2 linked regions of the Kluyveromyces lactis genome follow. The protein of the gene in region 2 binds, or shares a complex with, the protein of the main gene of each other region. Links are inferred from orthologs where the notes say so. Each region holds a gene or a part of one and is shown on either strand. Other genes may lie near its edges.

What was found. Proteins that work in one complex are often made in the same cells at the same time.
Region 1: GPI2 (region 2) and GPI19 share a complex: the UniProt entries of both Saccharomyces cerevisiae proteins name them as parts of the phosphatidylinositol N-acetylglucosaminyltransferase (GPI-GlcNAc transferase) complex. The link is inferred for Kluyveromyces lactis from reciprocal best matches to the Saccharomyces cerevisiae genes GPI2 and GPI19.

What each region holds. Positions count from the first base shown.
Region 1 is NC_006038.1:87,702-92,068, forward strand, and holds GPI19 (phosphatidylinositol N-acetylglucosaminyltransferase GPI19), read left to right. Parts: upstream 1-3,044; coding exon 3,045-3,440; downstream 3,441-4,367. Other genes in the region: PPZ1 (salt homeostasis regulator), read left to right, coding at 387-2,366; PSP2 (Psp2p), read right to left, coding at 3,821-4,367. UniProt on the Saccharomyces cerevisiae protein: Part of the complex catalyzing the transfer of N-acetylglucosamine from UDP-N-acetylglucosamine to phosphatidylinositol, the first step of GPI biosynthesis. Involved in cell wall biosynthesis.
Region 2 is NC_006041.1:2,090,684-2,095,000, forward strand, and holds GPI2 (phosphatidylinositol N-acetylglucosaminyltransferase), read right to left. Parts: upstream 1,320-4,317; coding exon 501-1,319; downstream 1-500. Other genes in the region: TAF5 (chromatin modification protein), read left to right, coding at 1-313; KLLA0_E23497g (DUF5315 domain-containing protein), read left to right, coding at 1,628-2,023; PGI1 (glucose-6-phosphate isomerase), read left to right, coding at 2,560-4,227. UniProt on the Saccharomyces cerevisiae protein: Part of the complex catalyzing the transfer of N-acetylglucosamine from UDP-N-acetylglucosamine to phosphatidylinositol, the first step of GPI biosynthesis.

The DNA.
Region 1 (4,367 bases), on a different chromosome or scaffold from region 2:
TATTCAAGTTCTACCCTCGTGTGTGCTATTTCCAAACTATTTCAATTTGAAGAGCATCACTGGATAAACGTTAGTGGTCAACTGTGAATAATCTTATTTGTTTCTCTTACGTTGGACTATTTTCCCTGTCACTCTCTGGTTTGCTTCATTGTGAAATCTATATTTGAGTTTGAAATTTTGCTTTCGTTAATTTGTTATTTGAAGAGTCGGTCTTGACGTCTTCATTGATCTCTGTTTTGATTTAGATCAGTTTATACTTGTATCAAGAAACGACAGAAAGTTAGTACGCGGAAGGTTATCTGAGAAATAGATACTTACCGGCCTTGAGGAAGAAATCAGCTCCCCAATAAACCCAAAAGAAATAGACGGAATATCATAAAGCAGCTATGGGTAATTCAGGCTCGAAACCATCTAAAAAGGCTAGCAAGTCTAAGAAAATAGAATCTGCGTCTTCCAATGGATCTAAATCCAGGAGTAGCTCGAAAGCAAGTGAGGTGAGTTCGAAAAAGGATACTTCGCCTCAATTGCAAAAAAGTGATACCATGCAATCAAATAAATCAGGAAGGTCCATCAGATCGTTGAAATCAAGGCGATCTCAATCTCAGCTGCAATCGCCGTCTAATCCAGGAACGCCGAAGCTTTCGGCTAATAACCACGAAACATCCCTGAGCAGGAAAAATAGCAGTACGCTTCCTTTGTCACGACACGGTTCCAGTCAAAGTGCATCAAAGGAAGACGAGAGAAATGGGCAAACACTTAAGACTGCGAGATCTTCCAGTTTTTCAACGACCGGCGATTTGCCCCCTTCAATGGTTCAGATGGCTCCAAAGACCCCAATTTTAAAAGGGTCTACTAACAACCCGCTGTACTATGAGAATGCATTAACTGATGATGATTACGATGATAACAATGATGATTCGATATCTTATAAATCATCTTCATCACGCCACCGCTCCAGTGCTCGCCGTGCCAGTTCGTCTTCAAGGAGAAGGTCTAATGGTAGTGCGCATCATTTGGAAGTGCCGCAGTCTGGAAACAGCATAAGCATGGTAAACCATGGAAATAGCACAAGTGGGTCACCAATCCAGATGAGCAGGTCTTCATCTAGATCGAGCACTCATAGTCGGAAATCTTCAATGTCAATGGGTCAATATAGCACACCAATGGCGTCTCCTGGGCTAAATGCAATGGATCCCGATGTCCAGGACTACTTTGATACAGCTGGAGCAAGCCAAAGAGAAATCGATGACGGCAATGGGAATGATTACCGAGGTGTATCTAACGGAGGTACAGATGATCATCCAGAAGGGCTTGGAAATGATGTTGAACTGAACGCGGAAGGTAAGCCTAAGAAAAAGAAACCGATTAAGCCCATAGATATTGATGAAACAATTCAAAAATTGTTGGATGCCGGTTATTCTGCGAAGAAAACAAGGTCAGTAGCATTGAAAAACTCAGAAATCACGCAGATATGTCAAATGGCACGGGAAATATTCCTCTCACAGCCGTCTTTGTTAGAACTATCACCACCGGTTAAAATTGTGGGCGATGTTCACGGACAATACGCAGACTTGTTAAGATTATTCACAAAATGTGGTTTCCCACCATCAGCTAATTACCTTTTCCTAGGCGATTATGTTGATCGTGGTAAACAGTCATTAGAGACAATTCTGCTCTTACTTTGCTATAAAATCAAATACCCTGAAAACTTTTTCTTGTTAAGAGGTAATCATGAATGCGCAAACGTCACAAGAGTTTACGGTTTCTATGATGAATGTAAAAGACGGTGTAATATCAAAACTTGGAAAACATTCATTGACACATTTAACGCATTGCCCCTAGCTGCGATCGTAGCCGGGAAGATTTTCTGTGTTCATGGAGGATTATCACCAGTATTGAATTCAATGGATGAAATTAGACACGTAAGCAGACCTACTGATGTTCCAGACTTTGGTCTAATCAATGACCTTTTATGGTCGGATCCAACAGATTCTCCAAATGAGTGGGAAGACAACGAACGTGGTGTGTCTTACTGTTACAATAAGGTTGCGATCAACAAATTTTTGAATAAGTTTGGCTTTGATTTAGTTTGTAGAGCACATATGGTCGTCGAAGACGGCTACGAGTTTTTCAATGATAGAAGTTTGGTAACGGTATTTTCTGCTCCAAATTACTGCGGAGAATTTGATAACTGGGGTGCAGTAATGAGCGTGAGCGAAGGTTTATTGTGTTCGTTCGAGTTGTTAGAACCTCTAGATAGTACCGCATTGAAACAAGTCATGAAGAAGGGCAGACAAGAAAGAAAGCTAGCCAATCAACAACAACAACAACAACAACAACAGCAACTGGAACAAATACAAGAGTGAAGATCAATATGTTGTTTTCATTACCAACAATCACATATCGATGTCATACTCAATTTAGCATTGGTGGCTTGATTAACAGTCACATTAAATACTTTACAGTGTTTATTTTACATTCTCGTCATTTCTTACCAAAAGAACCATCTCAATGATATCTTATTAAAGGACAGTTATTAGTGAAGAGTCCTTTGGGTGTTTTTGCCATGAGATTCAACAAATATATTTTTCAGATGTTGAAGCTTTCCCTTACTAATCTTCGTCTTTATTCGTAACTACTACTGTGGAGATTAACACTTACATATTCGATTCTAGGAGTTAATCCTAAGTGTTTTCCTCAAAAACAAATCTTTCTAATAATGACTGGCAAGAAAAAGTCGGCAAGTGTTACGGAAAGGACACCAGCTCGAACCGATTCCCAAAAAATCACCTCTTATCTACTATGTGACATTTACCGTTATTTTCAAACATTTTCGTCTGCCTTTCCTATGTCGACTGCGTACGAAACTAAAATAAAAAAAATCGATGAACAAAATCAATAAACACTATCGTTCGTTATATAAATGTAAAATAAGAGAGTAATTTAGTAATAATACCTAACCATCAAATGTTTGATTCCACTTTGATCACTTCAAACCATCTCTAAATATATTAACGCTCATTATCACTTACTTATGTTTTTAAATGAATAAAGAAAGACAGTATGGCGGATTTTCCGTATATGTTTCATCCACATTAGTTGTCTTCTTTATAGTTGTGTGGGCATTCTTACCAAAGATTATACTACAAGGACAAGCCATAGCCGAAGTTTACGAGATATTACCTCAAAGATATTGGTTAATAGCCATCCAATGTCTTGTACTAATGACAATGCTTTTCACTTACGTCGGAATGCTTTCCTATAATATTGACATGTTAACGGTCCCACTTGATGATATGCGAACGATAACTGATACTCAAGGGAGAATAGTTGAATACAAAAACTTCTCGGAGTTAGATTGGTACATCACTAATGAAACTAGCGGTGTTGCAGATTTACCCATAAATGAAGTAAGCCGAGTGCTTTATTTGCAGGAATGATCCTCTGAATCTTCCTTAGAACAAGAAAACAGTATGGGTAAAAATGATGTTGGTGACGTTCTTAAATGTTAATAATGTAATCTATTTAAATGACATCAAATACTATACAAAATATAATGATTAATGATGCGTGAAACGCAAGGGATTTGGATGACAGGAAACTTTTCTTATCCCGTCGTACTTCGTTGGAAGACGAACATATAGATGCTTTCGCTCTACCGAAAGATAATTTCTACGTGAAAATCAGATAGAGATGATGAATAACGAGGAGCTTAGGAGCATATGGTTTCCTTCACTTACGTTCAACTGCACTTCAATGCGCGTTTTAGACAGCGCCAGCATTGCTGCGGAAAATTTCGATATTATGAAAAGGTAAACGCTCAGTCAGTGGAAGAAGAACCACGGCCTCTGCCGCCTCTGCCACCCCGGTCTCTGCCGCCACGACCTCTACCACGACCACGACCACCAGATGAAGAATGACCACCTCTGTTTTGATCCTTCAAGAAACCAGCTGCTGGAGCAAATAGACCGTATTGTTGTTGCTGTTGGGATCTGTCATCAAACTTCTTATGGTAGTTGTTGTTCGAATCGGAATTGTATCTGCTTCCGTTGTTGGAGTGATCACCACGGTATCCTCCACGACCCCTACCACGGAAGTTACCTCTACCACGACGGTTACCATTGTTGTTATCATACCTGTCAGATCCATTGTTAACGTTATTGTCATTATCTCTAAACTTAAAATTGTTGGAATAGTTTTGGTTAGAATTATGGTTGGTATGTTCATCTGATCCGTTACTCTCGTTTCCAGAACTATTGGAATATTCGCTATTTGCGTCAGCTTTTAAGCGTCTGGCTTCTTCTTCAGCTTGCTCTTGAGCATGTCTTCTTTGTTCTTCTTCTCTGGCTGCAGCTTCTTTGATAGCT
Region 2 (4,317 bases):
TCCTATCTATTCCATAACTTTTAACAAAGAAGGTAACTGTCTAGTAACAGGTGGTGCGGATCAAAGTGTTAGAGTTTGGGATATAAAGAGGTTTACAAACGAGCCTGGAATGGAGCCGGAACAACAATTCAACACGTATTCAGGAGATATGGAACTCAGTGTAAATAACGATATCAAAGAATTCGGACGTAGGCGGGCAGTAATACCAACTCAGGATTTGATGGCTTCGTTCCATACAAAGAAAACAGCAATTCACAAAGTAAAATTCACAAGAACGAACCTAGTTTTGGCTGGTGGTGCATTTATTGAGTAAATGCGATTACTTTACTCAGCCAGATAAGGGTCGTTTATTCGACATATCTAGTAGTTGTCCAATTGTAATAAATAAAAAAAAAGAGAATGCGCTTTATCTTTATATTATTTACAATGAGTACGTATATTTTATGTGCATTGATATCAATGCAGTCAATGAAATGTAAATGTTAACAGAATCCTAATAACTAATCTAATATTGGTTTTTCAGCGTCCCACTGCTGTAAAATCGGATGTCCTTTATAATAGTAGCTTTCCCAGTGGATATAGTAATGAGGGATTCCAAATAATAGTAACAAAGATGATATTCCCAAAGGTATCGTGATCCCGACACCCATTAACTTCGTTATAAAATAGTAGACTGTACCATGTGTCGCAATAACACATAGTATATGCAGGAATTTCAACTTATTCTTTATGAAATACTTTTCCATCGTCGGCAGTAGAATGTTAATTTGGATACATATCAAAAGGAAACAGAAAACTTGGGTGGAGGTATCTAATCTTGAAGAAAGTACGGTCACATTTGAGAGTAGAATATTGGTCGGTAGGATTTTAGATTCAAGAGCGGAGATCGATATGATGTAAAAGGTTGTGAACCATGCAGATAGAGTCCAGATGGAATCGGACGAAGTTGTCTTGGACAAAGATTTAAGCACTGGAGATAAGGTCAACATTGCAAATATAATGATGATAGTGGATTTCCAGGGTACCCTCTTGTTGGCAACTATTAAGGAAACAGATGAAATTGAGGCAGCAATTAAAATCGGATTGTATTTGTAATGATAGAACCAGGCAAATATAATATAGAGTAACATAGTATTAATAATCATGTGGTAAAACTGGAAGAGATCAAGTAAAACAGACCTGTACGAGGAGTGAGGCCTCAAATGCCCATGTTCAATTTTCAACTTCTCCCATTGTTTGTAGAAACTTGGATCAGTGTAGGTATCTGGGAACGGCTGTTTCAACCACAATAACCGTTTCCATTGTTTCCCCGCAGCCATTAACAACTATAAGAGAAGACAATTTGTTATTCGGGAAACGACTAGCACAATATAGTCACTACAGTCTGGACAAAAGAAACCTGGAGATTTGCCGCTATACTCGCGATAAATCTCTGCGAGTGCAGGAAGTTACTTCAGTTCAACAGTCGTCGCTAGCTTTTTCGAATCATTAAAATTAGAGATTGATACGTAAAAAAGCTAATCCATTACAACTTAATATCACAGCACAGCCAGCGGGAGCACCCGCACAAGTAAGATACAAAGGATATAGCCTAACTTACTGCTCAACTCATTGCTACATATACCCAATGGATCAATCTAGCAGGGAGACATCAAATTCGTTTGATCAGGTAACCAGGCAATCTTCAAACAATGAACGAAGACCTACGGATTCTAAAGCCATACCGAGAACTTTACCCAAGGATACCGTTCCAGACGACGTACATGCTACACCAAAAGTGGATGACAAGGATAGGATATGGACAGATATAGATACACTAGATGATGTGAAAAGAATGGCCAGAGAGGGCAATACTGGCCTTACTTTCCCGGATAATTTCGAAGAGGATATTACCCGCTTACGCCAGATGCATGCGAACTTGATGCAGCACATGAAGAGACAATCAACAGAGACCCCAGGAAATCTTGAAGAACAACAGAAACACATCAATGATATCGTAGATACCATTGAGAGATATAACTGAATAAATACTTCAAATCACGTGATGAATCACGTGCCACAATTACCCTGACTTTTTGTTGAGTATTAGTGGAAGCTAAGGTTTCCAAGGACCACCGGTTTCTTCTACGTGCCTTTCACTATTTGTTTACTGGATGGTGCGAAACAAATAAAAAAAGCGGAAGCTGACAGAAATTACAAGTTGTTCCGAATAACGATGGGATATACGAATTGATGATTGAACGTAGTATGGAAAATAATAGGAACGTTGAGAAAAAAAAGGATTTGGTATTTTCCATCACCTGCGAATTTGAGGGAAATGGTTAACTTAAATCGTGGATTCTTTATATATATATATTCTCTGGTGAAGGTTCTTGATCAATTGCTTCTTCCAATTGGTATTTCGATTGTATTCTTGAGTCACGTAGAAAGGAATTTGTGATTAGGGTTTAATCGCTGAATTCTGAAGTGACCTTTTAACTGACCGTAAAGTACAATAAAAGGTTTTAAAGTTCTGTTAAGATAGATTCTAAAACAGAAATAAAAAGACAAATATCAGAAATGGCTTCTAAGAACACTTACTCTGACTTCAAGTTGGCAACTGAATTGCCAGCCTGGAACCAATTGCAATCTTTGTACGAACAAAAGGGTAAAAAGCTAAATGTTAAGGACGAGTTTGCTAAGGACAATTCTCGTTATGAAAAGTTTGCCAAGACGTTTGTCAATTACGATGGTTCAAAGATCTTGTTTGATTTTTCCAAGAACTTAGTTGACGATGAAATCTTGAAGTCTTTGATCCAATTGGCTAAGGAAGCTAAGGTCACCTCATTGAGAGATGCCATGTTCAACGGTGAACCAATCAACTTCACTGAAGGACGTGCTGTGTACCACGTTGCCTTGAGAAACAGAAGTTTGAAGCCAATGTACGTTGATGGTACCAACGTCACTCCAGAGGTTGACGCTGTGTTGCAACACATGAAGGAGTTCACCGAAGAAGTCAGATCTGGTGCTTGGAAGGGTTACACCGGTAAGTCTATTACCGATGTTGTCAACATTGGTATCGGTGGTTCAGATTTGGGTCCAGTTATGGTGACTGAAGCATTGAAACATTATGCTACCAACTTGAAGGTACACTTTGTTTCTAACATTGACGGTACTCATATTGCTGAAACTTTGAAGGATTTGGACCATGAAACCACTTTGTTCTTGATCGCATCCAAGACTTTCACCACTGCTGAGACTATCACTAACGCAACTAGTGCTAAGAACTGGTTCTTATCTAAGAACGGTGGTGACCAATCCCATATCTCCAAGCATTTTGCTGCTTTGTCCACTAACGCTACTGAAGTTGAAAAGTTCGGTATCGACACAAAGAACATGTTCGGTTTTGAAAACTGGGTCGGTGGTCGTTACTCTGTTTGGTCCGCTATTGGTTTGTCAGTTGCTCTATACATCGGTTTCGACAACTTTGAAGCATTCTTGAAGGGTGCTGAGGCAGTAGACAAGCATTTCGTTGAAACTCCATTGGAAGACAACATTCCATTGTTGGGTGGTCTATTATCTGTTTGGTACAACAACTTCTTCGATGCTCAAACACATTTGGTTGCGCCATTCGATCAATACTTGCACAGATTCCCAGCTTATTTGCAACAATTGTCTATGGAATCCAACGGTAAGTCCGTCACCAGAGGTAATGTTTTTGCAAACTACTCTACTGGTTCTATCTTGTTCGGTGAACCAGCTACCAATGCTCAACATTCTTTCTTCCAATTGATTCACCAAGGTACCAAATTGATTCCATCTGATTTCATCTTGGCAGCCCAATCTCATAACCCAATTGAAAACAACCTACATCAAAAAATGCTAGCATCTAACTTCTTCGCTCAAGCTGAGGCATTGATGGTCGGTAAAGATGAAGAACAGGTCAAATCAGAAGGTGCCACTGGTGGTCTAGTACCTCACAAGGTCTTCTCTGGTAACAGACCAACCACTTCCATCTTGGCTCAAAAGATTACTCCAGCTACCCTTGGTGCTTTGATTGCTTACTACGAACACGTTACATTCACCGAAGGTGCTATCTGGAACATCAACTCATTTGACCAATGGGGTGTTGAATTAGGTAAGGTTTTGGCTAAGGTTATTGGTAGTGAATTGGCCACTGATAACAAGATTTCTTCTCACGACAGTTCCACCAACGGTTTGATCAACCAATTTAAAGAATGGATCTAATGTGAGAATGCGATGCAATTTCCTTTTCACCTAAGATATGCAGTGAACTTAGAATTCCACATCTTTACGTACAACCAAACTAAATAAACT